2 linked regions of the Caenorhabditis elegans genome follow. The protein of the gene in region 1 interacts with the protein of each later gene in a pairwise test. Each region holds a gene or a part of one and is shown on either strand. Other genes may lie near its edges. The genes, in order: pdr-1 and ubc-15.

Region 1 (12,172 bases):
CCGGCTTGGCTCCACGTAATGCGGATTTCGGCGTCATCATCGTCTTGGGGCGTGGTATGCACGGGAGATGAAGTTTGTTGCAGCAACTACGATGGACAACCTGGTGACAGTCTCTGCATTTCATTGATGTGGCGAGCTTCAGGGCTGTAGCACATTTGTCGCATTTTCGCATCTGAAAATCAAAAAGGTATTAAAACAGTGTGGCAATTCATGTTTAACAGAAAAAATAGGAATTCTTTGTTCAGAAATAGATGTTTGCAACATGGGGTCCGAGACGGACGCGCCTCTTCATGATTAGCATGATTTTCATCACTACAGAGCTCACTTTAAAGAAATTTGTTAGCATTTTTTACACGTACCGCTTTGATTCCTGCCTCTATAAACGTGTGTGGTCTCATTGCGATGTCACGAGTTGTTCCATTAGTCCACGCCGGCGTGCCACGTTTCAGGGTTCGGATATCAAGTGTGCTTTTGGTGAGAATGGCGGACGACATGCCGAGGCCGATGTTATTTGTGGTTTGTCCTGGTGTTTGATCGCATGATGGAATACTTCCACAGCTCAAGCTCCTGCGGGTGAGCTGGCGGTGAAGTGAGACACGTGGCGGGTCCTGGTTCTGAGCTCGAGAGTTATGAATAGTAGTGGTGGTGGTGGTAGTGGTGGTAGTTGTCATTTCTTGATGAGGTGTAGAACCATCATCACGGCATCTTTTTGGAGGTGTACCACCCTCATTCTGAAAGAACAAACGCAATTCAACAAAAACTGTCATGTCATAATTTTTACCGGCTCTTCATCTATAGTAGCTGTCATAACACGGCTTCTGCTCCTCTTCGAATTGGCAGCAGCAGTAATCGCATGTGCTGACGCGCTTCTCCGCTTGCCACCAACTGCGTTTCCAGCAGCTGAGCTTCTTCTGACCTCTCTTCCATTGCGCAAATGAATAACTTCCTCGAAACTGTCTCCAGTTTCATCGTAATCCACCTCACTATCGTCCTCATCGTCCTGTGTGTCCTCCATCAAATGTGGATGCCTCTGCTGCACCCGTTTCGAGTATGTCCGGACCAGTGGCTCGTGAAGAAACTTGAACTGATCGCGGTCTTCCTTGGTGAGACTATTGAATATACCGTTCTTCATCGCATCTTTCAGCTGCTTTTCACGAGTCTCGTAGACGTTTAGATCGAGCTTCAACGCCTTATTTTCTTCCATCAACGCGCGTAAATGTTTCTGAGTGTCTTTGACATCGATATCGAACATTGCCAGCTTCTTGCGAGCTTTTCTGAAATAATAGTGTTTTCTAAACACGTAAACATGAAATATTTCACTTACGCAAGTGCTTCTTCGGCCTCTCTCATATCTGCATTCAGCCGCTTTTTGGATTCCTCGGAATCTTTCCACAGCTTGCGGAGACGCTCAATCTCATCAATCAAATGAAACATTCCTGAAACACGTCATTAAAATTTGAAAATGATAATTGAAACTAACCTATATCCTTAATATCGAATTGCGGTCGCTGTGAGTTTAGAATCATGTTGAAAATGTGACGCGAGTTTTCGCCGCACACCTTCTCTTTTGATGTACTGGACTTCATTCTAAAATGTGGAAATGATTAGAAAACGAGAAACTCGCCCGAAAATAAGAGAAAAATGCGTGAAAACCGTTTCAAATTTCGTGGAAAACAGTTCGAATTTGAAGCTCGCTGCGTTTGTCTCACACGCGACGCGACCCGCTACGCTTGCCATAGGGCGCACATGACTGCGAGGACTAGTGTGCACAAAAACATGGGGCTTCAAGGCCTCGACTAGTTTTTTGAATTTAATGTTTAAAACTGCAAGCAGGCCCGCTAGCAGGAAATTTTTTTGTTAATTTCTAAGTCAAATTTTCAGCTCTCATGAAGCATGTCTGATGAAATCTCTATATTAATACAAGATAGAAAAACAGGTCAACGTAGGAATCTAACACTTAATGTAGTGGACATTTCAAACTTTGAATATATACATTATTTTTTTCAGATAAATATAACTGGAAATATCGAAGATCTCACAAAAGATGTGGAAAAGCTCACCGAAATTCCCAGCGATGAGCTGGAAGTGGTTTTCTGTGGGAAAAAGTTATCAAAATCAACGATTATGAGGGATTTGTCACTGACACCTGCAACGTAGGTCAAGTAAATATTTACTTATATAAATAACTGGAATTGTTATTTATATAAATAACTGGAATTGTTATTCAAATAATATTATTTCAGACAAATCATGCTTCTCCGTCCAAAGTTCAATAGTCACAACGAAAACGGTGCTACTACTGCAAAAATAACAACAGATTCTTCAATTCTCGGAAGCTTCTACGTGTGGTGCAAAAATTGTGACGACGTCAAGCGCGGCAAACTGCGGGTTTATTGCCAAAAATGCTCGTCAACCTCTGTTCTAGTCAAATCTGAACCCCAGAACTGGTCCGACGTTCTCAAAAGCAAGAGAATACCGGCGGTCTGCGAAGAATGCTGTACTCCAGGTCTTTTCGCTGAATTCAAGTTCAAATGTCTAGCCTGCAACGATCCGGCCGCAGCTCTAACTCACGTACGCGGAAATTGGCAAATGACCGAGTGCTGTGTTTGTGATGGGAAGGAGAAAGTGATCTTCGACCTCGGATGCAATCATATTACATGCCAATTCTGTTTCAGAGTGAGTAAGAATCTAAATTTTTTGTTGAAATTGTTTAATTTTAAAGGATTATTTGCTAAGTCAACTGGAACGATTCGGTTTTGTCAATCAGCCGCCGCATGGCTTCACCATTTTCTGCCCCTATCCAGGGTGCAATAGTTCGTTCGATTTTATCAAAACCATTCAATTTTCTGCAGTAGTGATCCTGAAAACTAATTGATAGAAACAAAAAATCTTCCAAAAAATACAAATATGTTATGTTTCCATTTTGCAAGTCTGGCATGGTTTTTTTTTTGCAAAAAAAACCCCCACCCGTTCTATTTAAATTTATTTTGAAAATTTTCTCACATGTTTCAATAGTTTTTCAATGCCGAGAAAATTGAAAAAAAAAGTTTTAAAGAAATTAAACAGAACATTTAATTGAAAAATAACTTCAGGAGTGGTACAAGATGTGCACCATTTCCACATTATGGGTCAGACGTCGTACAGCGAATACCAACGGAAAGCCACCGAGCGATTGATTGCCGTGGACGACAAGGGTGTGACTTGCCCGAATGTCTCGTGTGGGCAGAGCTTCTTCTGGGAGCCCTATGATGACGATGGAAGATCCCAGTGTCCAGATTGTTTTTTTTCGTTTTGCAGGTATTTTGAGCTTCTAAATCGGAAATTTTATCGCAATAAATATCATCGTTCAGAAAGTGCTTCGAAAGAAATTGTGTGTGCCAGAGCGAAGACGATCTCACCCGAACTACAATTGACGCGACTACAAGGTGATCTCAGCGATTATCCACTACAAAAAACTGTAAATTCTTCCAGAAGATGCCCAAAATGCCACGTGGCAACCGAACGGAACGGCGGATGTGCTCACATTCACTGTACCTCGTGTGGAATGGATTGGTGTTTCAAGTGCAAGACAGAATGGAAGGAAGAGTGTCAATGGGACCATTGGTTTAATTAATAACTCTCTAAAATTCATCTTTTCTAGAGATTGTACGTGTTATTCTGTAGATTTTTACAACAATTACGGTGTGTCTGAAGTTACATTGACATTTTTTCTCTTCAAATTTTAGATCTTTTTCTCAATTTTTGTTGCTGAGTATTTCGCTCATTTCATACCTTTTTTTAAATGTTTTGCCAAATTTCAAAGAACACATTTCTCGCAGGGATCTCCATAGACATGTCAGGACAAGGACCTCCACCAAGTATGACGCCGCAGCAACAACATGTAAGATTTTTTGTGCTTTTGAACTTGAGAGTAAATTTTAGTGAATTTGAGCACATTTTACAACCTTTTTCGGAAAAATTTCACACTTTTCTACGGCTTCATCCTTAAAACAATTGAAGTCAAAAAATGTCTTTTTTTTAATTTTGGGAACAAAAAAAATTAATGAAAATGTACAATCACACCAACATGGAAACATTTCTTGAGCTTCGGGATATATCTCAGTTTTGGAGTGGGCTGAAAATTATTTTTTTCATGAAAATTAAAAAAACAACTTTTTCATGAAAACAAAACTCACCGCATTTTTTAACTGAAATTTGAAAATTTCTCACTCAAATATCCTTTAAAGTTTCATTTTAAGACGTTTTCAGAGCTTTTTTAAAACCATATAACCAAATTTTAAACTAGGAATAAAAAGATTATAAAATAAAAACATTTCAGATGTTAATGCAGCAGCAACAGCAGCAACAAATGATGCGGCAGCAACAAATGCAGCAACAACAAATGCAGCAGCAACGTCAACAGCAAATACAACAACAGGCTCAACAGGTAGTAATATACCGTCCAATTTATCGAAAATTTGAAATAGCACTTTCTGATAAATTTTTTAACGTAAAATTAAAATATTTTATGATTTTTTCCGCAAATTTCTGATCGAAATTTTTTAAAACATTAAATTAAACAGATTTAGCGTATTTTATCGCTAAAACTAAAGAAATTTGATAGGAAACATACCATTTCGGTTTTTTTAAATAGTAAATAATAACACTACGATACAAATAAAAAGCGCTTAAACATATATTATTCGGTACTTGTGTATTATACCCCCGCCATTTTAAAAATTAATTTTTTAGCTTATAAAATAAAAACGTGTGGAATTTTAGGCTTAGGAAAACACCATTCCTAAGCCTAACAAGGAAAATGGGTATCACGTTTAATTTAAACGGATAAATTAATGGAAATTTAATTAATTTCTAAAATGGCGGGGGTATAATACACAAGTACCTATTATTCTGTAAAATATCGATTTACCACAATTTTCAGCCATACCAACGAGCTCGAACTCCACAAATGGTACCACAAGGAGGCTCGCCGGGAGGTGCTCATCTCCAAATGCATCCTCATCTTCAACCACAAGGACAAATGCAACCGAGAAGCCCTCTAGTTGGAGCACAGCTTCAGGCTCCCTCGTCGGTGCCCACTGCCGCAAATCCGACCACTCCACAGATGATGCAACAGCAAATGGGCATGAATGTACGGGGAGATTTCTGATAAAACTTAGAACTATTGAAAAAATATTTGGAAAAAATTCAAAAAGGGGAAATTAGTGAGAGTTGGAAATTCGTGTTTTTGGAATTTTCATTTTCTTTTCTTTTTTTTGTGGTATTTCAGCATATGGAATGTTCCTAGTATTTTAAAACTGAAAGTAAATCCCCATTTTCCGAACTCTACTTTCATTCAAATTTCCGATTATTTTGTTCAGAATTTTTGTTGGAAATTAAAAAAAAACCAATCTAAAACAATTGGCCGTTCAAACATAAATCTCCAAATAAAAGTAATTTGTGACAATCTTTTTTAGCTGAAAAAAAAATGTAATTTCAGCAACCAATGTCTCTTCCGCCAACACACGTCTCACGTCCAGGCTCAGTTGCTCCGCCGTCGTCGGTTCCCGTCAATTTACAACACACATCTGGTGCACCCGGGCTCCCGGGCTCACAAATGGAGCATCAGTACCCAATGCATTTGCAGCCACAACAGCAGACATTATCAAGGCCGGGGTCTCAGCAAAGTCAACATATTCAACAACCCGGAAGCATTCAAAGACCTGGATCGGTAAATTTTCGGATTTTATTGAAAAATTTTAAAAAAACAGAGAAGAAATATACAGTGCTTCACATAATGATACGGCCACCCCCAAATTTTGGTATAACTCAAAACTGGGTTGAGATAGCAAAACATAGTTTCTTGTGAAAATGTTCGCTGTACTGGCTAACTTTCAGATAAGTATTGGAAATATACCTGAACCGTTCGTAAAAAAAGATAAACCATTTTTTCATGAAAAACCATATAAAAAAATCCACAAAATGATACGGCCACCCTTGGTTTTTGTTTTCTTTTTTCGTTTTTTTTGCAATTTTTTTTGCTAAACGTTAGGTTTCATGTTCGTTTGTGTTTTTACAGCTATGGGTCGTGGAATAACTTTAACTGACTACGAAAAAGGACAAATTGTGCAAAATTATCTCAAGGCTTCTCGGATCGTCAGATTTTTCGTGATTTGAAACGTTTGAGAGATATGATCACTCGATATGCTTCAAATCCTGCCGCTTATTGCACCAAAAAGTCTTCTGGTCGCCCACCACTCCTTTCTGGTAGAGACAAGCGAAAAATCGTTCGTCGAGCATTCAATTGAACAGTGACTTGCTCGAAAAGTAGGAGCGAGATGAACCTGCCAGTGTCTGTTGAGACCGTACGTCGTGTCCTTCGAAGTCCCAGTTTATCAAAAGACGAAAATTAATAAAGGCTAATTTCATTACCGAAAAACACGGCCAAAATCTTATTCAGTTTGCTAAAATCAGCCAGAGAACTAACTGGAGACAAGTGAGGATTACGGTATGATCATTCAATCTCATGTTTTGGTCTCAGATCATCTTCAGTGGCGAGAAAAAGTTTAACTGTGATGGTCCTGATGGCTACCATGATTACTGGCACGATTTGAGAAAAGAAAAGATGAACTGAAACCAAAACATGAGATTGAATGATCATACCGTAATCCTCACTTGTCTCCAGTTAGTTCTCTGGCTGATTTTAGCAAACTGAATAAGATTTTGGCCGTGTTTTTCGGTAATGAAATTAGCCTTTATTAATTTTCGTCTTTTGATAAACTGGGACTTCGAAGGACACGACGTACGGTCTCAACAGACACTGGCAGGTTCATCTCGCTCCTACTTTTCGAGCAAGTCACTGTTCAATTGAATGCTCGACGAACGATTTTTCGCTTGTCTCTACCAGAAAGGAGTGGTGGGCGACCAGAAGACTTTTTGGTGCAATAAGCGGCAGGATTTGAAGCATATCGAGTGATCATATCTCTCAAACGTTTCAAATCACGAAAAATCTGACGATCCGAGAAGCCTTGAGATAATTTTGCACAATTTGTCCTTTTTCGTAGTCAGTTAAAGTTATTCCACGACCCATAGCTGTAAAAACACAAACGAACATGAAACCTAACGTTTAGCAAAAAAAATTGCAAAAAAACGAAAAAAGAAAACAAAAACGAAAAAAGAAAACAAAAACCAAGGGTGGCCGTATCATTTTGTGGATTTTTTTATATGGTTTTTCATGAAAAAATGGTTTATCTTTTTTTACGAACGGTTCAGGTATATTTCCAATACTTATCTGAAAGTTAGCCAGTACAGCGAACATTTTCACAAGAAACTATGTTTTGCTATCTCAACCCAGTTTTGAGTTATACCAAAATTTGGGGGTGGCCGTATCATTATGTGGAGCACTGTATTTATAAACATTTTTAAAAAATTATTCGAAAATTCTAAAAATTTTTAGAAATTTCTCGAATATTCCCGTATTTTAGGAGTAAAAAAAGGTTCTTTTTTGAGATTTTTCAAACGAAATAGTGAAAAAATTTCAATGATAAACAGGAAAAAATCTTCTTTTTTTGAAAAAATTGTATTTCTTAAATAAAAATTACTTTATTTGGCATTTCAAGTGAAAGTTTGATTTTTTTTCAAATTAAAATTTTTATACAAAAAAAAATTCCAAAAAAGTTCAACATTAAATTTCAATGATTTGAAAAATAAAAATAACATTTTTTCGAAAATTTAGAAAACAAAAACCTCTCAAAATTTTCAGGTTCTAGCTCCAGGTTCAATACCTCCCGGCGGGCCAGCTTCCCAAACAGGACCCCAATCGATTCAAGTCTTCGGACCCGGCTCCGTGCAGCCACCAGGCTCAACACAGGCTCCGTCCTCAGTCCAACCGGCTTCCACATTCAATCCAGGCTCGATTCAGGCTCCGGCAAGCCAGCAGCCGCCTGCATCAGTTCAACCACCGCCATCTGCAGCGTCGGGCTCAACTGTGGCCGGTGCGCAGAGCTCCAAAGAGCCGCTGAAACCGAATGAGGAGCAAATTCGAATGGTTCAGGATCCTGTGGATTTGGTTCGAAATTTGGTGCAAAAGGATCTCAGAAATTCGTTGGTGGTAAGCTTTACAATTTTTGTTGGAATTTTGAAGAATAGAAAAAACTAAAGGTTTGAATAAAATTGAATGTTTAGGAAAGAATATGTAAGAAAAATTTATTTCAAATTTTTTTTTTCAAAGCATCAATTATTTTGGTCAAACAAAGAAAAAGAAAAATTCACTTTTAATGGCTTTTCAGAAAAAAAAAATTGTTTTGAAATTTTTGACATATTTAGCTGTTGTTTAAAAATTGTTTGTTGTTTAAAAAGTTGTTGTTTTTTAAAAAGAAAAAATCGAAAAAAAACCTCATCGAAAAAAAGAAAGTATTTTGACTTGAAAACAGAGAAATGAAATTTCCATGTTTTTCTTGAATAAAAAACCATTTTTATATCTTTATTCGATTATTTCAGATTTTTACATAATCAATTAATTTTTTGATTACAAAATCGAATAAATAAATTCAGGAAATGAACAAACGCGGTGCGGAGCTTGTGCGTCAGAAACAAGAAGGAGAAGTGAACGAGGATGGAAAAGCTCAGTACAGCAGAGCCACGAACGATTTTCATGCGGTTTGCGATGAAATTGACCGTACTTTGACGACAGTATTGGAGACAGCGAAACAATTGAGCAAACTTGACAAAGTGTTCTTTGATCGGAGCTCTCGAGATCTCGACGGGGAGGTTATGGTCAATTCTGTGCAGAATTTTGTGGATAATACTGAAATTGTAAGCAGGGTTCAGGCTAAAATTGTGTTTTGGTAGATGTTTGGACACTAACAAATATTCGTTGCGAAGGAGGATCGTTGAAAAAAGTCAAACTTTCCTAATTTTTCAGGTACAAAGAATGTTCGACGACACAATTGGAAGTGTGACGTCTTCAATGGAAAGTATGCGAAGACGACAGAAGAAATGGGAGGATCAACACAAAAATGATGACGTCGAAATGATGGAGTAAATATTAGTTATTTAATGATTGTTCTATTGTTCTCAAATACAAAAAAGCGTTACATTTCTGTAAAATAAAAAAGATAATTTGCATCTATTTCAGAAAATCATTTTCTCAATGTTAAATCTTATTTTTCTTAATTTCTTGTGTGTTTTCATCGCTCAATTATCGTTTTTCTCTGAGAATTGATTTTCCAATGTAAAATGAGAGATCTTCTTGTTTAAAAATAATAATAAAAATCACTTACTTCTCTGAAATATGCGTTTTAATCTCTCAAAAAAATTGAGATTTGTCCGTTTTTCATTAATTCAGACAGTTTTCCGGTAAATCTACTTTTACACCATTTGAAAAGGGAAATACCAAATTATTAAAACAGCATAAAACAAATTTAAAAAATTTCTTCAGTTATTTTCGGTCTATCTTTTTGTCATTAAAATAGTTTTTTTCCAAAAAATGAATTTCACATTTTTAAAGAAAAAATTTGAATTGAGTCAGATTTTTAAGTACGATAATTTTTTATTAGAAAAAAACTAATTTTGAGAAGAAAATAGATATGTAAATGGTTTAAAATGTGTACTTTAAAATGTGAAATTTAAAATTATTACACGGCCCGGCAAGTGGTACATCCATGCAAATGCGCTCTACTGATAATTTGAGTGTAGACCAGGTTTGGGCGCGTGATAACGAAAAAAGCTTTGGTCCAAAAAATTTAGAATTTAATTTCGGACATTTTTTATATGCATCACAAAAAAGCTGGACCAACCGTTTTTGAGATACACGCGCCCAAACGTCCAGGTATACGGTAGACAAATTGCGTACAGGTACCACTTCTCGGGCCGTGTATTATATGACCTCAAAAATTCTGAGAATGCGTATTGCACAACATATTTGACGCGCAAAATATCTCGTAGCGAAAACTACAGTAATTCTTTAAATGACTACTGTAGCGGTGGTGTCGATTTTTGATTTTTTCGATTTTTTGAAATGAATGGAAAATGAAATGAATGAAATTGAGCGATATTGAAATTATTTTCTCATTTTTAACTGAGTTTCAATATTTTATCGATAAATACCGTATTTTTTCTATTACTACGTCTTCTCTATTAGAATTGCACTCCCTATTAGTATTGCCCCTCGGAGACCTCTCGAAAATTAGTATGGCACTCCCTATTAGTCTTGCACTCCCTAATAGTCTTGCTTTTACTTTTTTTAAATTGCAAACGGGTCTCGCTAATTTCAGGATTCCATCAACATTTTTTACCTATTTTGTAACAATTTTTGACAACATTTCTACGAGATAGAAGTTTTGAACTTACATGCTACAATTAAAATTACATTTTCTGACTTTTTACATATGACTTTTTCAGAAAAACAAAACAACTAGTAAGCTCAAAGTCAAAAATGTTCTGAAAATTAGTATTGCAATCCATATGAGCTCGTAAATCGACACAAGCGCTACAGTAGTCATTTAAAGAATTACTTTAGTTTTCGCTACGAGATATTTTGCGCGTCAAATATGTTGTGCAATACGCATTCTCAGAATTTTATGTTTCCGTAATACTATGTTTCAGGTGAAAATGTTTTCACCGCTCGAGTGTCGTCTTGCTGTTGCTTGTAAATTCCAAGATGATCGATATTATAAGCTTTTTCACCAATATTTTGATCTACTGGCCCAAGTTCACTCTGTTGTCGAAACAATGGACGGTTTATGGATGCTGAGAGTGTGGAGGGCTCAAAAATTCGGACCAGAAAGCATCAAAGAGAGACGAGAAAGACAACTATTTCACGTTACTCAATTTTCCTTCAAACGTTACATCGTTCCGCCGAATCCGCGTATTGGAAAAGCCATTGAAGAATTTGGGAAAGAATATCTGATTGAGATCAATGTTTACGACGAGCATCGAGCTGATTTAGTGAGTCTAAATGTAACACTTTTAATTCATCTTCTATATATTAACCAATAGTCTTGCAGTCCGGTAATTTCGTGGCTATTCAAAATGTGCACGCAGCGTCCACACCACATAGAGAAATTCAAATTCTTCACGGCGGCGGTGAGGCATATCAACGTGGAATCTCGACAGTTCCAGTCGACTTCGAAGTTGATGCTTTTCAAAATTTCAAGAGAAAGGTGGAATCTGTGCTGGAAAATGTTTTGTACGATGAAAATTTCATCGAGTTCCAACAGCCGGAAGAAGTTACTGAAAATCGTGTTCCTGAAGAGTAAGTCGGTTTCATAATTGAAAAAAAAAGATTTTTTTTTAAATTTCAGGCCTCAATTGAACATCCACAAGGACCCTTTGCCGAGTGATCTTCCACAATAAAGGAACACCGAAAGCGTGGCGGTTCGTCTAAATATCGTTTTCTTTTTTTTCTGTAATTTTCGGTTCAAACCGGTGTATCTCACATGTTTGTTTTTGGTTTTTAATATATTTATTGTGTTGTTAACGATTGTTCGGAATGCAGTATTTTTTAAAATTCTTCAGCATTATACAGTGCATTTGTTTTTCCACTTCTGCGACTTTAAAGGGAGGCGCTTTTATGCGGAATGATCTGGTCGCGCGTTTAATAATCATTTTAGCGGTTTCTTTGTAAAAGAAATCGCTAAAATAATATGCAACAAATCATTAAAAACTTGGAAATTATTTTTGGTTGCTCATATTTGTGCAGGCAAAAAGTGCCCTACCTATAAAAAAGGTATAGTCATTCAAGCCCAGTTTTTGGTTTCAGTTCATCTTTTCTTTTCTCAAATCGTGCCAGTAATCATGGTAGCCATCAGGACCATCACAGTTAAACTTTTTCTCGCCACTGAAGATGATCTGAGACCAAAACATGAGATTGAATGATCATACCGTAATCCTCACTTGTCTCCAGTTAGTTCTCTGGCTGATTTTAGCAAACTGAATAAGATTTTGGCCGTGTTTTTCGGTAATGAAATTAGCCTTTATTAATTTTCGTCTTTTGATAAACTGGGACTTCGAAGGACACGACGTACGGTCTCAACAGACACTGGCAGGTTCATCTCGCTCCTACTTTTCGAGCAAGTCACTGTTCAATTGAATGCTCGACGAACGATTTTTCGCTTGTCTCTACCAGAAAGGAGTGGTGGGCGACCAGAAGACTTTTTGGTGCAATAAGCGGCAGGATTTGAAGCATATCGAG
Region 2 (16,301 bases), on another chromosome or scaffold:
AAACTACAGTACTCCTTAAAGGCGCATACACGTTTTCAAAAAAAACTAAAATTGTCGCGTCGAGACCTGGAACCGCATTTTTGGCGCCAAAAGTGCAATAGTACTCGGAAAAATGCATTTTTTCAGATTTTGAGCCAAAAAATTAAATTTTCACCGATTTTAAATAAAATTTCTGGCGAAAAGGGAATTTTCCCCCAAATTTTAGGGATTTTATCGAAAATTTGGGTAAAAAATTCAAGTTTAATCAATAATTTGAGCAAAAATATGGGAAATTCTCGAATTTTCCAGTAAAACTCGTCGAAAACAGTGATGAAATTCGTGATTCACGGCGAAAAAAATGGGTGTTGGGTGTTTGACGGCGGCAGTGCACGTGAACCCCCTCGAGAGGGATAGGAGACGCAGGCGTGTGGAGGGACGAGAGAGCGCCGTCCGGTGAAGAGACGCAGGAGATGATCAGCTGAGGAAGTGTAGACATTTGTTTATTCCTCAGAAAATCGTCGGATTTTCGGGGAATTTTGAGTGGAAAATCTGTAAAAAAGGGGGTTTTTTCTAGATTTTTTATAGGAATTTTTGATTTTAGCCGCTCTCCGGGGCTCTAAATACATTCACAGTTCATATTTTGATAAAACCAGGGCAATCATACACGAGGATCATAGGGTAAAAGGTAGGTGTTAGTGATATACAGGAAAATTCGCGAATAAATGGTCAATAATTAATTGATTTTCTCTTCTTCTATTGAACGGATCCATGGCGGAACTGCTGCTGCTGCACAGATCTGAGCTGACGACGTGTCTGCATTGTTGAGCGCCTTCTCGGCGGGGACGGTGGCGTCGCGTCGGCGGGATTCTCGATTTCCAGGTCCTCCTCAACGATCTCCTGCTTGATCTGGCGGATGAAGACGTCGTCGCCGCCGAGGTTCAGATCCTCGTCATCCTGGATTTCGAAGCTCTGATCGAGGAAGATTGGCTCCGAGCGAGATGGGGTTCGAGTTGCGGGTCGGCGCCGCGGCTCCGGGTCCAGGCTCATTGAGCTATCGATTTCTTCGATTTCAAGCTGAGAAATTGGAGTTGGAGCACTGTTAAGCGTTGCGACGACCTGGAAAAACCAATTTTAAGTTAAAAAATCCGATTATTTTCCGACTAACCGACGCCAAAACTGCCGGCACCGCGCTCGCCACAATCGGCATGTTCTCCCACACTTTATCCATCAATTTCGCGGAAATATTGTCGATTCGGCGCTCGTATTTCCTCAGAAACGGCGCCAAGAACTTTGTGTAGAGAACCGAGGCGAATCCAATGTGGGGAATCGCCATGAGCACTGTGAACGTGAGAATGAAGAAATCGTAGAACGGAATGAAGCAAGAGACGTAGAAAGTGCTCAGGAACCAGTCGACAATGAGGAATGAGCCGTAGATTGTCCAATAGTGCATGCATTCGATCTGGAAATCAAAAAATCGGGTTTTTGGTGCGATTTTTAGCGTAAAAAATGGCATTTCACCAACCAATCTCGGTTTCGTCGGCTTTTTCAGCACTTTGAACGAGCCAATGACGGGCGCCACTATTCCGATGAGATTCGAGAGCCCACGAGCGAGAAATGACATTTTTTTGACGAGTAGAAGCTGGAAAATTGTCGAAAATAGTCGAAAATTCGGAGAAAATCGAGTGGAAATAGGCGAAAATCCCGCGCAGTTTGTGTCTTTACAGAAGTCGTGGCGAGACCAGAAGAGTGGATTTGGGCATGCGCCTTTAAAATTTGTTTTCTTTTTCTAGCATTTTCTAGGCTAAAACTGCTTTTAAAATTTAATTTTTTGATGGATTTTTAATGAAAAAGGTTTAAAAATTTATTTAAACAGATTTTTCATAAAATCTACGTCAGAAATCACAAAATTGACGGCTTAACTACAGACAATTACAAAAATTTTAATTTTCGTGGCGAGACTCAACCACTATAAAAACTCTATGCGCCTTTAAAAACAAAATTTAATTCCAGGAATTTTTTTCGACTTTTTTCTCGATTTTTCTCGATTTTGAGCCAAATTTCGTCGATTTTCTCGCAAAATTTACAGAAAAAACCCTCGAAACTTGAATCTCGCGCTCACTTCCGGCGCGGACGTGGCCGATTTTTCCGCTGAACCGACGAAAAAAAAGTCGATAGAGAAGGCTTCAACACACTTAATTTGCACGTTGTTGGCAGTATTTGGCCGTATTCAGCGAGAAAAATCGATAATCATGGGAGATTACGAGAACGTTTTAATGGTAAAACCCAAGGTTTTCGTGTATCGCATCCCGCCGATCGGAACCAGCGGTCATAAGTGAGTTTTTGAGGGTTTTTAAGTGGTTTTTAAGGTAAAAAATCTTATTTTTAACGTAAAAATCCATATTTTTCGCTATAAAATCCCTATTTTTCAGAGCCGCCGACTGGAACCTCGACAGCCCGGCTTGGACGGGACGAATGCGGCTTGTCGCCATCGGAAAACGTCTGGAAATGCGTTTAGAAGACGGAGAAACCTGTAATTTTCCCTCGGAAAATCAATAAAATCAATCAAATCAATAAAAACCCCGAAATTTTTCATTTTTCAGGCGATTTATACGCGAAATGCCCGATCGATGCGCACCCTGGCAACGCAATTGAGGCGGTTTCCGATAGTTCTCGATATTTTGTGATTCGTTTGCAGGTTTTTTTGGCTTAAAAAAGCCCTGAAATTTCAAAATTTTCACGTTTAGAACGACAATGGACAGCAGGCATTCGTGGGATGCGGGTTTCAGGAGAGAGGAGATGCTTTTGACTTTAATGTCACACTTCAAGTGCGTAAAAGTGGCTTTAAATGCTGAAAATCGAGGATTTGAAGTGGAAATTACGTTAAAAACCGGGAAATTTGACCGAAAATCGATAAATTCTGCGATTTTTATTCAAAAATCTGAAAAATCCGCATTTTTTCGAGGAAATATCATTGGAAATTCACGGAAAATTGAATTTTCTGGTGAAAAATTGGAAAATTCCATGAAAAATCCCGTTTTTTTCAAAAAAAAAGTCGAAAAAATGCTGAAAATTAATAATTTTTAACTAAAAATTCAAAAAAATCAATTATAAACCCCCAATATTCATAGATTTTCATCAATTTTCAGCGAAGAAATCGCTAAAAATCAAATTTTCAACAAAAAATACTGCAAAAAGTCACTAAAAATTCCAATTTTTCCTGAAAAATTCACTAAAAGCCCATTTTTCTACGAAAAAATCTAAATTTTCTCAATTTTTCCTTCTATAAATACCGATTTTCCTCGAAAAAATCCTGTTTTCCTTTTAAAAAATCGCTAAAATTCACAAAAATCGCTTAAAAATCAGTTTTCATCCATTTTTCTCGGTTTTTCTCTGAAAAATCCAAATTTTTCACTAAAAATTCCAAAAAATCACTAAATTTCATGGAGAATATCCATTTTTTCCGCGAAAAATTCCCAGAAAACCCAATTTTTCTCGAAAAAAATTACTTTTTTTGCGCCAAAAAAATCACAATTTACCTTTTAAAAAATCGCTAAAATTCACAAAAATCGATCAAAAAATCAATTTTTACCCATTTTTCTCGGTTTTTCTCTCAAAATAACCCAATTTTTCATCAAATATTCCCGAAAAACCCCATTTATCCTCAAAAAAAACTAATTTTTCCTGAAAAATTCACAAAAATCGCTTTAAAAATCAGTTTTCACCAGATTTTCTCGATTTTTCACCAAAAATTCCCAAAAAATCACTGAATTTCTCAATTTTCTTCACAAAAATCGCTCAAAAAGTCAGTTTTCACCCGATTTTCTCGGTTTTTCTCTCAAAATTCTCCAATTTTTCCCAAAATTTCACTAAAAAGTCCCAAAAAAACCGCCCAATTTCCAGGATCACTTTCGTTATATCGAACGAAGCGCCGAACTGGAAAAACAGGATCTTTCTGCCGGTCCAAGCTTGGATTTAGCATTTAAAGAGGGACAAACCATCTCAATTAACATTGGAGTACGAATTTCGGACTGAAAATCTCTGAAAATTACCCTAATTTTCTTGCAGAAAAAGGATAAAAGTGCAGTTTCCCGCCCTCGTCCGGCTCCTGGAGCATCTACTGGAGGCCTAGTGCCACTGCTTCCACCGCCGCCAGGTGCCGGCTCAATGGTACGGAGCTCGAGCTGAAAATCTGGAAAAAATGGCTGAAAAATGTGAAAAATTGCCTGAAAAACTGAATTTTCCGTGATTTTTCGGGTGAAAATCTGGGAAAAATGGCTTAAAAACTAAATTTTCAGTGGTTTTTCGTCTAAAAAAGTAGATTTTCATTTGAAAAATGTCTGAATACCTTAATTTTTAGCTGAAAAACTTGAAAATTTGCTCAAAAAAATCGGGAAAAATCGATTTTCTGGATAAAATTAAGCTAATTTCGTTATTTTTTAGCTGAAAATCTGGAAAATTGCCTGAAAAATCTGAAAAATTGCCGGAAAAACTGAATTTTCCGTGATTTTTGGGTGAAAATCTGGGAAAAATGGCTTAAAAATCGTTTTTTTTTTGTTTTCAGTGGAAAAATCTGAAAAATTGCATGTTTTTCAGCTAAAAAACGTCTAAATTCGTTAATTTTTGACTGAAAATCTCGAAAATTCTGAAAAAATTGAGTATTTTGCTCAAAAAATCGGGAAAAATCGATTTTCTGGATAAAATTAAGCTAATTTCGTTGATTTTTAGCTGAAAATCTGGAAAAAATGGCTTAAAAATCAGTTTTCAGTGGAAAAATCTGGAAAAAAAATGCTAAAAACTGAATTTTCAGTGGTTTTTCGGCTAAAAAAATTTATTTTTAGTCAAAAAACATCTGAAGATCTTTAAAATTCTGTAAAAATTGAGTATTTTGCTCCAAAAAATTGAAAAAAATCGATTTTCTGGATAAAAATTAAGCTAATTTCGTTAATTTTTAGCCGAAAATCTTAAAAATTTCGCTGAATTTTGGATTTTTTGGTCGATTTCTGTGGAAAAATCGCCGAAATTTGCTAATTTTTCACTAAAAATCTTCGAAAATTTGATTTTTTGGCTGAAAAAGCCTAAAATAGTGTTGAAATTGTATAAAATCTGAGGAAATTTCCCAATTATTCGCTGGAAATTGACATTTTTTCACCACTTTTCTTATCTTTCTCATCACAAGATTATTATTGACTTTTTTGTGGAAAAAATGTGATTTTCAGCTGAATTTTGGCCGGAAAAATGCTAAAAAAACCGATATTTTTGACTGAAACTTCAAAAAATATCGAATTTTCAGCATTTTTCCGGCGAAATTTTTGATTTTTTCGAGTATTTTGGCTGAAAAATTGAAATTTACAGCCTAAATTATCGGAAATTAACCTTTAAAATCGCGGAAAATCCAATTTTTAGCTTAAAAATTGCTGAAAAGTGCAATTTTTTCCACTTTTTGCTCAGAGTTTCCATGGAAATTGGTGACGAATTTCGTTCGGAATCTCTGCGCCTCTTTGGTTTTTTTTTCTCTGAAAATCCTCCGTCTGCTTCTCTAATTCTCCACTTTTTCCCACATTTTTGTGTGTTTTTCGCGCGATTTTTAGACAATTTTCCTCCAAAAAAAGGGTTTTTTTCCGAGCTTTTTGAAAAAAATTGTATAAAAAATGCAAAAAAAACCATTTTTTCAGTTTAAATCTCAAAAATTCGTGAAATTTGCCATTTTCAAACCGCAAAATTTGAATTTTTCGATTTAAAAAAGTCGAAATTTTACCAAAAAATATTTGATTTTCGGCAGATTTTTTGCATAAAATTTCAGAAAAGTAGCTGAAAATAGTGAAAATTCGAATTTTTCACTCAAAAAATTGCTCAAAAGTTCGTGAAATATGCCTTTTTCTCCAAAAAAAAATTGCCGAAAAACCGTGCTTTTTCGCGAATTTTCAGCGATTTTTGGCTGAAAAATCGCATTTTTGGCCGAAAAAATTGGGTTTTTAGACATTTTCTCACCAAAAACTATGCTTTTTTCGAGTTTTTTGAAAAAAATTGCGATTTTCTGAGAAAAAAATCTTAAAAAACCCCATTTTTTCGGTTTAAATCTGAAAAATTCGTGAAATTTGCCATTTTGAAGCCACAAAATTCGAATTTTTCGATTTTAAAACTCGAAAATTCATGATTTTAGTCGAAATTTTGCCAAAAAACTATGATTTTCGTCAGAATTTCGCATAAAATTTCCGAAAAGTAGCTAAAAACGCTGAAATTCGAATTTTTAAGCCCAAATTTGCAATTTTCAGTCAAAAAATGCGATAAAAGTACGGATTTTTGCTCGAAATCAACTTTTTTTCTTCAAAAATTCGAGTTTTCCACTCAAAAATCATAGAAATTCCTCTAAAATTTGTATATTTTCGACTAAAATTTCCCCAATTTTCAGATCAGAAACTCTCGTCCTTCCACCACCACCACTACGGCTTCATCTTCTCTGTCTTCTGCTTTTGCTGCTCCACCGCCGGCTCCGAGCTCTTCGACGAGCACAACGGCGACGTCTGGCAATTTATTGTCAGTTTTTTGCTCGTTTTTGAGTGAAAAATTGATGGAATTCACAAAAAATGGCCAAAGAATCCTCAAAATTGGCCGAAAATTCTGAAAAATGACCTAAAAATCACCGAAAAACGGCCAAAAATTATCTGAAAATCGCCGAAAATCTCAAATTTTGAGGAAATTCCCGCTAAAAATTAATAAAAATCACCGAAAAAAGGCCAAAAATTACCTAATAAAGGCCGAAAATCGCCTAAAAAGGCCAAAAATTCTGAAAAATGGCCAAATTTCAATTTTTCACACACAAAAAATCCCTGAATTTTCTATTTTTACTCGAAAAACTGTGGATTTACGGGGGTAAAAATTCAGTTTTTAGTGCTATTTCACAAGAAAAACACAGCATTTTCGACAAAAACTCCGATTTTTAAGCCAAAAATTTGAGGTTTTTAGTTTTTTACGTGAAAACCTGAACTTTTTGCCAAAAAAACACTTTTTTTTAGACTAAAAATCAATTTTCGATCAAAAATCACTAATTTTGCCTGAAAAAATATAGATTTTTCCACTTTTTCACTGAAAAAAAACTGGATTTTCACTAGAAAATCAAGTTGTTTTTAGACCAAAAATTTTATTTTTCCGCTGAAAATTATCGTTTTTCAGTCAATTTTCAGCTAAAAATCCCTGAAATTCTGGATTTTCAGCCAAAAAACTCGAAATTTTCCAAAAAAACCCCGTTTAAAAATGAGTTTAGACTGAAAATTCCGATTTTTGAGCCAAAAATTTGATTTTTAATCGAAAAAAATTGGATTTTCAACCAAAAAATCAGTTTTTCAGTGATTTTTAGAGTAAAAATCACTGATTTTAACACAAAATTCCAGTTTTTCGTGATTTTTCACTAGAAAATCCCGATTTTTCCCCAAAAAATCCATTTTTCCGACTAAAAATCCCCAAATTTTCAGAGATTTCTAAGCGATGACGTCATCTTTCTTCTCCGTACAACTGTCTGCGTCTCTTCACTTCTCTCTCTCCACCTTTTCTCTACGCTTTCCATCGCTAATTTATTGAAATTTCCTGTCCCATTTCATTTTTTTTTCGAATTTTTTTTTAATTGTTAATAGCTTCTGTGATTTTTCCCTGCTTTTTTCTGATTTTTTCCGTCAAAAATGGACAATTTTCAGTCATTTTTATTGATTTTTTGCTATTTTTTCCCCGGAAACGGTTATTTTTCACCGCATTTTATCTATTTTTCGCCAATTTTCGGTTAATTTCATCAAATTTTCCGTCCAGATCACTCTCTTGGGGCGCCAAAAACTTGGTGAAACCGAATCGATTATCTGGTGAAAATGCTGAATTTGGTGAGTTTTTTTTTTAAACGAAAAATCATTAAAAATTATAAATTCTCATTTAAAAAAATTGAAAATTTAATTTTGTGAAAAAAATGTGGAAAACTTCAATTTTTAAGCCAAAAATTTCCAGTTTTTTCGGATTTTTTTTAGCAGAATTTTTAAAAAATCGATGAAAAATTAGGATTTTTGGCATTTTTGCCGCGAAAAAATCCACATTTTCAGAAAAAAAAATCCAAAAAAATGAAATATTTACTGGAGGAAAATTATAAACTTTCAGAAAAAAACAATATTTATTTGTTAAAAAAAACAATTTTTCTGAAAAAAATCAACATTTTCGAAAAAAAAATCTAAAAATCAAAATTGATCTGTTTTTCCTCAAAAAAATTCAAAACTATCAGAAAAAATTAATATTTTCTGTTTAAAAAACCAAATATCCCCCAATTTTTCAATTTTTGGCTAATTTTTAGGGTTTTTTACTCTAAAAAAATTCAAAATTTTCTTTAAAAAATCAATGTTTTATTTTAAAAACCAAAATTCCAATTTTCCCCGAAAAATTCAGGAAAAAACCCTCAAAATGGCCCAATTTTTGGTTAATTCTTCGGGTTTTTACCATAAAAAAATTCAAAATTTTCTGAAAAAATCAATAATTTCCGTTAAAAAATCGAACTTTTCAAAAAAACTAATAAAAAAAAAACATAATTAAAAATTTTCAAAAAATTCAAGCTTATCGAAAAAAACCAAAATTTTCCAATTTTTCCACTAATTTTTCAATTTTTGGCTAATTTTTTGGTGTTTTTACCCTTAAAAAATTCGATTTTTCCACTATAAAATTGAAAAACCCCCTAAATTTTTCAATTTTTCGCTAATTTTTTGGGTTTTTACCCTAAAAATTCTCAATTTTTTTAACCAAGCAATCAATTTTTCTGAAAAAAAGTGAATTTTTAATTTTTTCTTATAGTTTTGAATTTTTTGGAGGAAAAACAGATCAATTTTGATTTTTAGATTTTTTTTTCGAAAATGGTGAATTTTTCAGAAAAATTGTTTTTTTAACAAATAAATATTGTTTTTTTCTGAAAGTTTATAATTTTCCTCCAGTAAATATTTCATTTTTTTGGATTTTTTTTTCTGAAAAATTGGAATTTTTCGCGGCAAAAATGCCAAAAATCCTAATTTTTCATCGATTTTTCAGATAATTTTTTTTAAATTCTGCTAAAATACGACAGTTTTCGGAGCAAAAATCCGGAAAAATTGGAAATTTAACAAAATTAAAATTTCAATTTTTCGCTAATTTTTTGGGTTATTACCCTAAAAAATTCAATTTTTTAATCAAAAAATTTTAATTTTATAAAATTCGAAATTTTCTGAAAAAATCAATAAATTCTGTTCAAAATTGAAGCTTTCCAAAAAAAAAAATTTCTGGAAAAAACCAAAAATTTCAAATTTTCTCCAAAAAAACCCCAATTTTCTGGCAAAAAAACCAAAAATTTTCAATTTTTCGCTACTTTGTTTGGGTTTTTTACTCTAAAAAAAATTAAAAATTCACTGAAAAAATTCAAAATTTTCTTAAAAAATCAATGTTTTATTTTAAAAACCAAAATTCCAATTTTCCCCGAAAATTTCAGGAAAAACCCACAAAATTGCCCAATTTTAGGCTAATTTTTGGGTTTTTACCATAAAAAATTCAACATTTTCTGAAAAAATCAATAATTTCTGTTAAAAAATCAAACTTTTCAAAAAAAACCAAAATTTTCAATTTTTTCCACTATAAAATTGAAAACCCCCGAAAATTTTCAATTTCTTGGTTAATTTTTTGGGTGTTTTTACTCTAAAAATTCAATTTTTTAATCAAAAAATTTTAATTTTCTGAAAAAATTCGAAATTTTCTGAAAAAATCAAAAAATTCTGTTAAAAAATTCAAGCTTTACAAAAAAAAAATTTTCTGGAAAAAACCAAAAATTTCAAATTTTCTCCAAAAAAACCCCAAGTTTCTGACAAAAAAACCAAAAATTTTCAATTTTTGGCTAATTTTTCGGTGTTTTTACCCTTAAAAAATTCGATTTTTCCACTATAAAATTGAAAAACCCCCTAAATTTTTCAATTTTTCGCTAATTTTTTGGGTTTTTACCCTAAAAATTCTCAATTTTTTTAACCAAGCAATCAATTTTTCTGAAAAAAAGTGAATTTTTAATTTTTTCTTATAGTTTTGAATTTTTTGGAGGAAAAACAGATCAATTTTGATTTTTAGATTTTTTTTTCGAAAATGTTGAATTTTTCAGAAAAATTGTTTTTTTAACAAATAAATATTGATTTTTTCTGAAAGTTTATAATTTTCCTCCAGTAAATATTTCATTTTTTTGGATTTTTTTTTCTGAAAAATTGGAATTTTTCGCGGCAAAAATGCCAAAAATCCTAATTTTTTCATCGATTTTTCAGAGAATTTTTTAATAATTCTGCTAAAATACGACAGTTTTCGGAGCAAAAATTCGGAAAAACTGGAAATTTTTGGCTTAAAAAATGATTTTTTTCACTTTTTTTTTCACAAAATTAAATTTTCAATTTTTCGCTAATTTTTTGGGTTTTCACCCTAAAAAATTCGAAATTTTAAAAAAATTTTCTGGAAAAAACCAAAAATTTCAAATTTTCTCCAAAAAACCCCCAATTTTCTGGCAAAAAAACCAAAAATTTTCAATTTTTCCACTAATTTTTCAATTTTTGGCTAATTTTTTGGTGTTTTTACTCTTAAAAAATTCGATTTTTCCACTATAAAAATGGAAAAACCCCTAAATTTTTCAATTTTTCGCTACTTTTTTTGGGTGTTTTTACCCTAATAATTCCCAATTATTTGCAGGGTCCCGGCGTATCCGTACCAGCAGCTGGCACAGCATCCAGCTCAGCCGTTCGACGCCTCCAAAAAGACTACGCAAAACTGATGCAAGATCCTGTTGATGGAATTAAAGCACTTCCAAATGAGGATAATATTCTTGAATGGCATTATTGCCTTCGTGGATCACCGGATACACCATTCTATGGTGGTTATTATTGGGGAAAAGTGATTTTTAAGGAGAATTTCCCGTGGAGTCCACCTGCTATCACGATGATTACACCGAATGGAAGGTAGTAATGACGGACGGACACGAAAATTGCGAAAAAAAAATCGTCAAAAAATACGGTTTTCAATGATTTTTATGTAACTTTTGAGCAAAAATTAATTTTTTTGACGATTTTCCTCATTTTTTCAGAAAAAATTGATTTTAATCGCATTTTTGGCCATTTTCCAACTTTTTTGTAAATAAAAATCATTGGAAATCGCCAAAAATACGATTAAAATTAAATTTTCCCGAAAAATTGTAAGAAAATCATTGAAATTGGTCGAAAAATGCGATTAAAATCGATTTTTGCTGAAAATGTTCAAAAATGTCATTTTTGTTTTTAAAAATTGGATTATATCAGCCAAAAACGGCACAAAATCCTTTTTTTTTCCTCGAAAAATGCAAAAAATCTAATTTTTTTTTTTGAAAAATTCGGAAAAATCAGTAAAGATACGATTAAAACCAAGTTTTTCTGAAAAATATCGAAAAAATCGAGAAAAATGGTAGAAAATGCGGTAAAAAACCAAATTTTGCTGGAAAATAGCGTATAAAATGGTCAAAAATACGATTAAATTTACATATTCGCTGGAAAGTTGCACAAAAAAGTTGGAAAATGGCCAAAAAATGCGATTAAAATCAATTTTTTGCTGAAAAAATGAGGAAAATCGTCAAAAAAATTAATTTTTGCTCAAAAGTTACATAAAAATCATTGAAAATCGTCAAAAAAAATCGATTTTTACCCGGAAATTCATTTTTTCTCGATGAATTTCTGAGAAAATTGCAATTTTCTTTGGTTTTTCAGATTTTGATTCAAAAAAGTTCACATTCCATTCTCTCAGAATTTACAGAATTTTAACCAATAAATTGTAAAAAATTCAGTTTTGCATTTGAAAAGTTTAACCTACAAATGGCCTAATTTGACGATTTTGTAGATTTTCACGGAAAAATTCATTTATTCTTATAAAAACTTGAAGTTTTCGTCTAACAATTAAGATTCTCGGTCAGTTTTAGATAAATTACTCCAAAGTTGGGAGATTTTTGCGAAAAATCGTTAAAAATTATCAAAAATGCCATATTTTGTCAGGAAAAATGTTTATAATTTAATAAACCCGAAAAATATCGAAAATCGGCTAAATTTTTAGATTTTTCAGCACAAAAAAATGATTAGAAACTGTTGTGAAAAACGGTTTTAATCCTCAAATTTTTTTTAAATCGGCAAAATGTGAAATTTTGCCCAATTTTGTGCAAATTTTGACTCAAAAACCTCAATTTTCCTGTGGCAAATGGATGTATCTATTGAGTATTGTGATGTGCAAAACCTCGTTAATTCGCCAATAGAATTACGATATTCTCATCACAATTCCCGATGGGCTCCATTTAGTCACGTTTACGGGGAACCTCTGCCCAAATTTTCATTTTTTGGCTAAAAACATTAAATTTTTCAACAAAAAAAAAAAACTCCGAAAAAAAATTATTATTATTATTTGCATTAAAAGTGCCCCAAATTTTCCTTTAAAAAATCGCTGAAAAATGGTAAAAAATGTCATTAAAACGGTAAAATTTCAGTCATTTTCTGTCGAAGTTTCATTTAAAAAAAAAAAAGTGTTTTTTGCAGATTCCAAACAAATACCCGCCTATGCCTATCAATTTCTGATTATCATCCGGAATCATGGAATCCCGGATGGACTGTATCTGCAATTCTAATAGGACTTCATTCATTTATGAACGAAAATTCGCCGGCTGCCGGATCAATTGCCGGAACTCCACAGGATCAGAGGATGTATGCGGCGGCGAGCAAAGAGTTTAATGTTAAGGTGCTGCTGCTGCTGCTCTCGAAATGCTCCTGAAAATTTGGAAAAAAAAATTGGAAAAATCCTTAAATTTTACCTGAAAAACGCAGAAATTGAGCAAAAATGTAGAATTTTAAAAACCCAAAATGGAAAATTCTGCGAAAAAACTCGAATTTCTGGCTCAAAATTGCAAAAATTCCCCAAAATTTGGGGCAAAAGCCTTGGAATGTGTGAAATTTTGGAGAAAAAACCCCGAAAATTTGGCCAAAAATCGCGGATTTTGGGCTGAAAATTGGAAAAATCTTAAAATATTTCCTAAAAATTTTAAATTTCAGCCAAAATTTGACCGAAAAACTGGGATTTTCCGTAAAAAATTCGAAAAATCTGGCAAATTTGAGCCAAAAGCTCCGGAATTCGAGCTTAAAAATTGGAAAAATCCCCGAAATTTGGACAAAAATCGCGGATTTTCTATTGGAATTTGGAAAATTTCCGGAAATTTTGTCTGGAAAAGTGAGAAATTTAGAAAAAAAGTGTCGAATTTTGCTGCGAGAAAATCCGTAAAAAATCACTAAAAACGTGTCATTTTTATGCGAAAAATTCGCTAAAAATCGCTTTTAACAGGGTTTTTCAACAAAAATTGCTAATTTTTGACATAAAATCTCGATTTTTGCGCAGAAAATCGACTTTTCTTCATTTTTTTTCCACTCAAAAATCTTTTTTTCAAAGCGTTTTTTTCCGATTTTTGAGCCGAAAAATTCTGGGAGAATTTTTGCTCGAAATGCTCCTGAAAATTGAAGAAACCGGAATTTTACAACGAAAAATTGATTTAAAAATTCGCAAATCTATGAAAATTGACTAAAAACCAAGAATTTTGGTGAAAAAATGACTTTTTTCTGGCAAAAACCGAGAAATTTGGACGAAATTCAATTTTTAGCCCTTTTTCTAGTTTTCCGGGTATTTTTACATGATTTTTTCGGCAAAAAAGCCCAAAATCCGGTCAATTTCGATGAAATTTTCGGTTTTTTCCAAATTTTATGGGGAAACCCCAAATTTTTAGGCATTTTTCCGAATTTTAAATAATTTCTGTGATTTTTAATGTTTTAAAATGGAATTTGCCCGGTTTTCTGTCTTTGTGCAATTTTTTCGCTTAAAAACCTGCTTTTCAGCTAAAATGGGGCTTTTTTCTACACTTTTCCAGGGAAAAGGGAATTTTTGCAGCAAAAAACACATTTTTTCTAAATTTCTGAATTTTTCCACAAAAAATTCGGCTTTTTTAGCACAATTCTGACAATTTCAATCGATATTTGCGTAATGTCGACCAAATCTCTTGTTTAAGCGATTTTTCGTCGAAAAACTGGTTTCAATCGCTTAAACAAGAGATTTAGTCAAAGTTTCGCAAATATCGATTGAAATTGACAAAATTGTGCTAAACAAGCCGAACTTTTGGTGGAAAAATTCAGAAATTTAGAAAAAATATGATTTTTGCTGCAAAAGCCCCCTTTTCCCTGGAAAAAATGTAGAAAAAAGCCACTTTTTCGCTGAAAAGCAGGTTTTTAAGCGAAAAAATTGCACAAAATAAGGAAACCGGAAAAATTCCATTTTAAAACGTTAAAAATCACAGAAATTATTTAAAATTCGGAAAAAAAAGGCCTTAAAATTGAGTTTTCCTCATAAAATTTGAAAAAAAAAAAACCGAAAATTCCATCAAAATTGACCAGATTTTTTGGGCTTTTTTTGCCGAAAAATCATGTAAACATGCCCGGAAAACTAGAAAAAGGGCTAAAAATTTGGTTTTTCTCTCCTAAAATTCCAATAAATAATGTGTAATTCGGCGATTTGGCGCTTCTCGACCGCCATGAAGAGTCCTATGAGAGGCTGGCAAAGAAGACTTTGGCCTGTTTTGTACACGCTTTTGCCAATTTTAAATTCAAATTTTTCTTGAAGGTATACAACTGGAATTTGGCTGGAAATCCGCACTGCAACTTTTTCCTGACGAGGGACGAGGAAAAGTGGTTTCTAGGCCATGGCCGAGGGGCCGACAAGTTTCATCGGCCATTTATCTTGCTTTGTTTTCCGCCTGTTTTCTTTTGTTTTTCATCGATTTTTCCCGTTTTTTCTTATTAAAACTGATAAATAAATATTTTTTGCACAGATGCTAAAACAATTTCCGAGTAAAAAATTATGTATTCAGTGGGCAAGCAGCGGTGAAAGTGGTCAATGTAAAATGATGGATTACGGGAATACAAAACCTAAACTTTTTTTGAAACATGATACATATGCTGCTTAGATGCTGAAATTACCTGATTTTCATAACGAGACCGCTGAAAAAGTTTTGAGGTTTTCAAAATTCAAATTTTTTAGTGAAAAAGTCGAGATTTTTGCACAAAAAGTTTAATTTTGAAAATCTCAAAACTTTTTCAGCGGTCTCGTTATGAAAATCAGGTAATTTCAGCATCTAAGCAGCATATGTATCATGTTTCAGAAAAAGTTTAGGTTTTGTATTCCCGTAATCCATCATTTTACATTGACCACTTTCACCGCTGCTTGCCCACTGAATACATAATTTTTTTACTTGGAAATTGTTTTAGCATCTGTGCAAAAAATATTTATTTATCAGTTTTATTAAGAAAAAACGAAAAAAATCGATGAAAAACGAAAGAAAACAGGCGGAAAACAAAGCAAGATAAATGGCCGCTGAAACTTGTCGGCCCCTCGGCCATGGCCTAGAAACCACTTTTCCTCGTCCCTCGTCAGGAAAAAGTTGCAGTGTAAATTTTGGTGAAATTTTCGCTTTTTACCAAGAAAAATTGCTAGAAATTCCATCAAAATTCAATTTCCAGTACCGCGAATTCCGTCGATTCTTTCCACAATTCGTCAAAGATTGGACCGGAGTACTGCCGACACCGAATGAGCCAAATATTGCTCCAACAATGCTCCCAGAGCATGCTGCTCCAACTGGAGGAGCACCAAATGCTGCTCCAAATGCTCCAATTGTACGTGGATTCGGTTTCGACAACAATCTCCCGGCACGTGTGAGTTTTTGTTTTTTGTTAAAAAATCGAAAAAAAATTAAAGTTTTCCATTAAAAAAGCTATTTTTTTGATTTTTTCGCAAAAAAAGCTTAAAAAAAACGGATTTTTTGAAAATTTTGACTTTTGGCGAAATTTTGAGCTAAAAAAATCTCAGGACACTATTAAAAACCCAAATTTCTCTATTTTTCCGACAGAAATTTCAATATTGGTCCAGTTTTGAGCGCAAAATTTGCAAAAATTTCGGCAAAAACCTCGGATTTTCAGTTAAAATTGGGAATTTCAACGTAAAAGTTGAGTTTTTGGGGAATTTTTTTGTTGAAAATCTGAATTTTGAGAAAATCCCCGTAGAAACCGTAAAAAACCAGCAAAATCTCTAAAATTTTTTGTGGTAAAAACCACCTAAAAACCCCTTTTCCATGGAATTTTCGGCAATTTCTCCGGGAAAACTACGAAAATTGCCCAAATTTATCAATTTTTCGGTGTAAAAACTTCCATTTTTTGATAAAAACTAGGTTTTCCCCGGTAAAATCCTCCAAAATTCTTGTAAAAACCACC

What was found.
Region 2: the proteins of pdr-1 (region 1) and ubc-15 interact in a two-hybrid assay, tested with the Caenorhabditis elegans proteins (one study listed by BioGRID).

What each region holds. Positions count from the first base shown.
Region 1 is NC_003281.10:13,769,638-13,781,809, forward strand, and holds pdr-1 (E3 ubiquitin-protein ligase parkin), read left to right. Parts: upstream 1-1,881; 5' UTR 1,882-1,893; coding exon 1,894-1,962; intron 1,963-2,007; coding exon 2,008-2,153; intron 2,154-2,243; coding exon 2,244-2,676; intron 2,677-2,722; coding exon 2,723-2,813; intron 2,814-3,092; coding exon 3,093-3,297; intron 3,298-3,350; coding exon 3,351-3,425; intron 3,426-3,471; coding exon 3,472-3,613; 3' UTR 3,614-3,707; downstream 3,708-12,172. Other genes in the region: cyk-4 (Rac GTPase-activating protein 1), read right to left, coding at 1-172, 360-731, 782-1,274, 1,325-1,436, 1,481-1,586; mdt-29 (Mediator of RNA polymerase II transcription subunit 29), read left to right, coding at 3,833-3,880, 4,319-4,426, 4,922-5,131, 5,480-5,710, 7,742-8,089, 8,533-8,793, 8,903-9,022; pot-3 (Protection of telomeres protein 1 ssDNA-binding domain-containing protein), read left to right, coding at 10,591-10,938, 10,986-11,233, 11,283-11,334.
Region 2 is NC_003280.10:2,905,079-2,921,379, reverse strand, and holds the start of ubc-15 (Ubiquitin-conjugating enzyme E2 J2), read left to right. Parts: upstream 1-7,776; 5' UTR 7,777-7,832; coding exon 7,833-7,844; intron 7,845-10,683; coding exon 10,684-10,949; intron 10,950-12,539; coding exon 12,540-12,738; intron 12,739-14,658; coding exon of another isoform or gene 14,659-14,838; exon of another isoform or gene 14,839-14,865; intron 14,866-15,552; exon of another isoform or gene 15,553-15,554; coding exon 15,555-15,746; intron 15,747-16,301. Other genes in the region: Y110A2AR.1 (Receptor expression-enhancing protein), read right to left, coding at 733-1,095, 1,145-1,438, 1,502-1,600; ncap-1 (NECAP PHear domain-containing protein), read left to right, coding at 2,229-2,311, 2,409-2,509, 2,580-2,674, 2,724-2,804, 3,880-3,993, 4,045-4,146, 6,389-6,513, 7,449-7,458.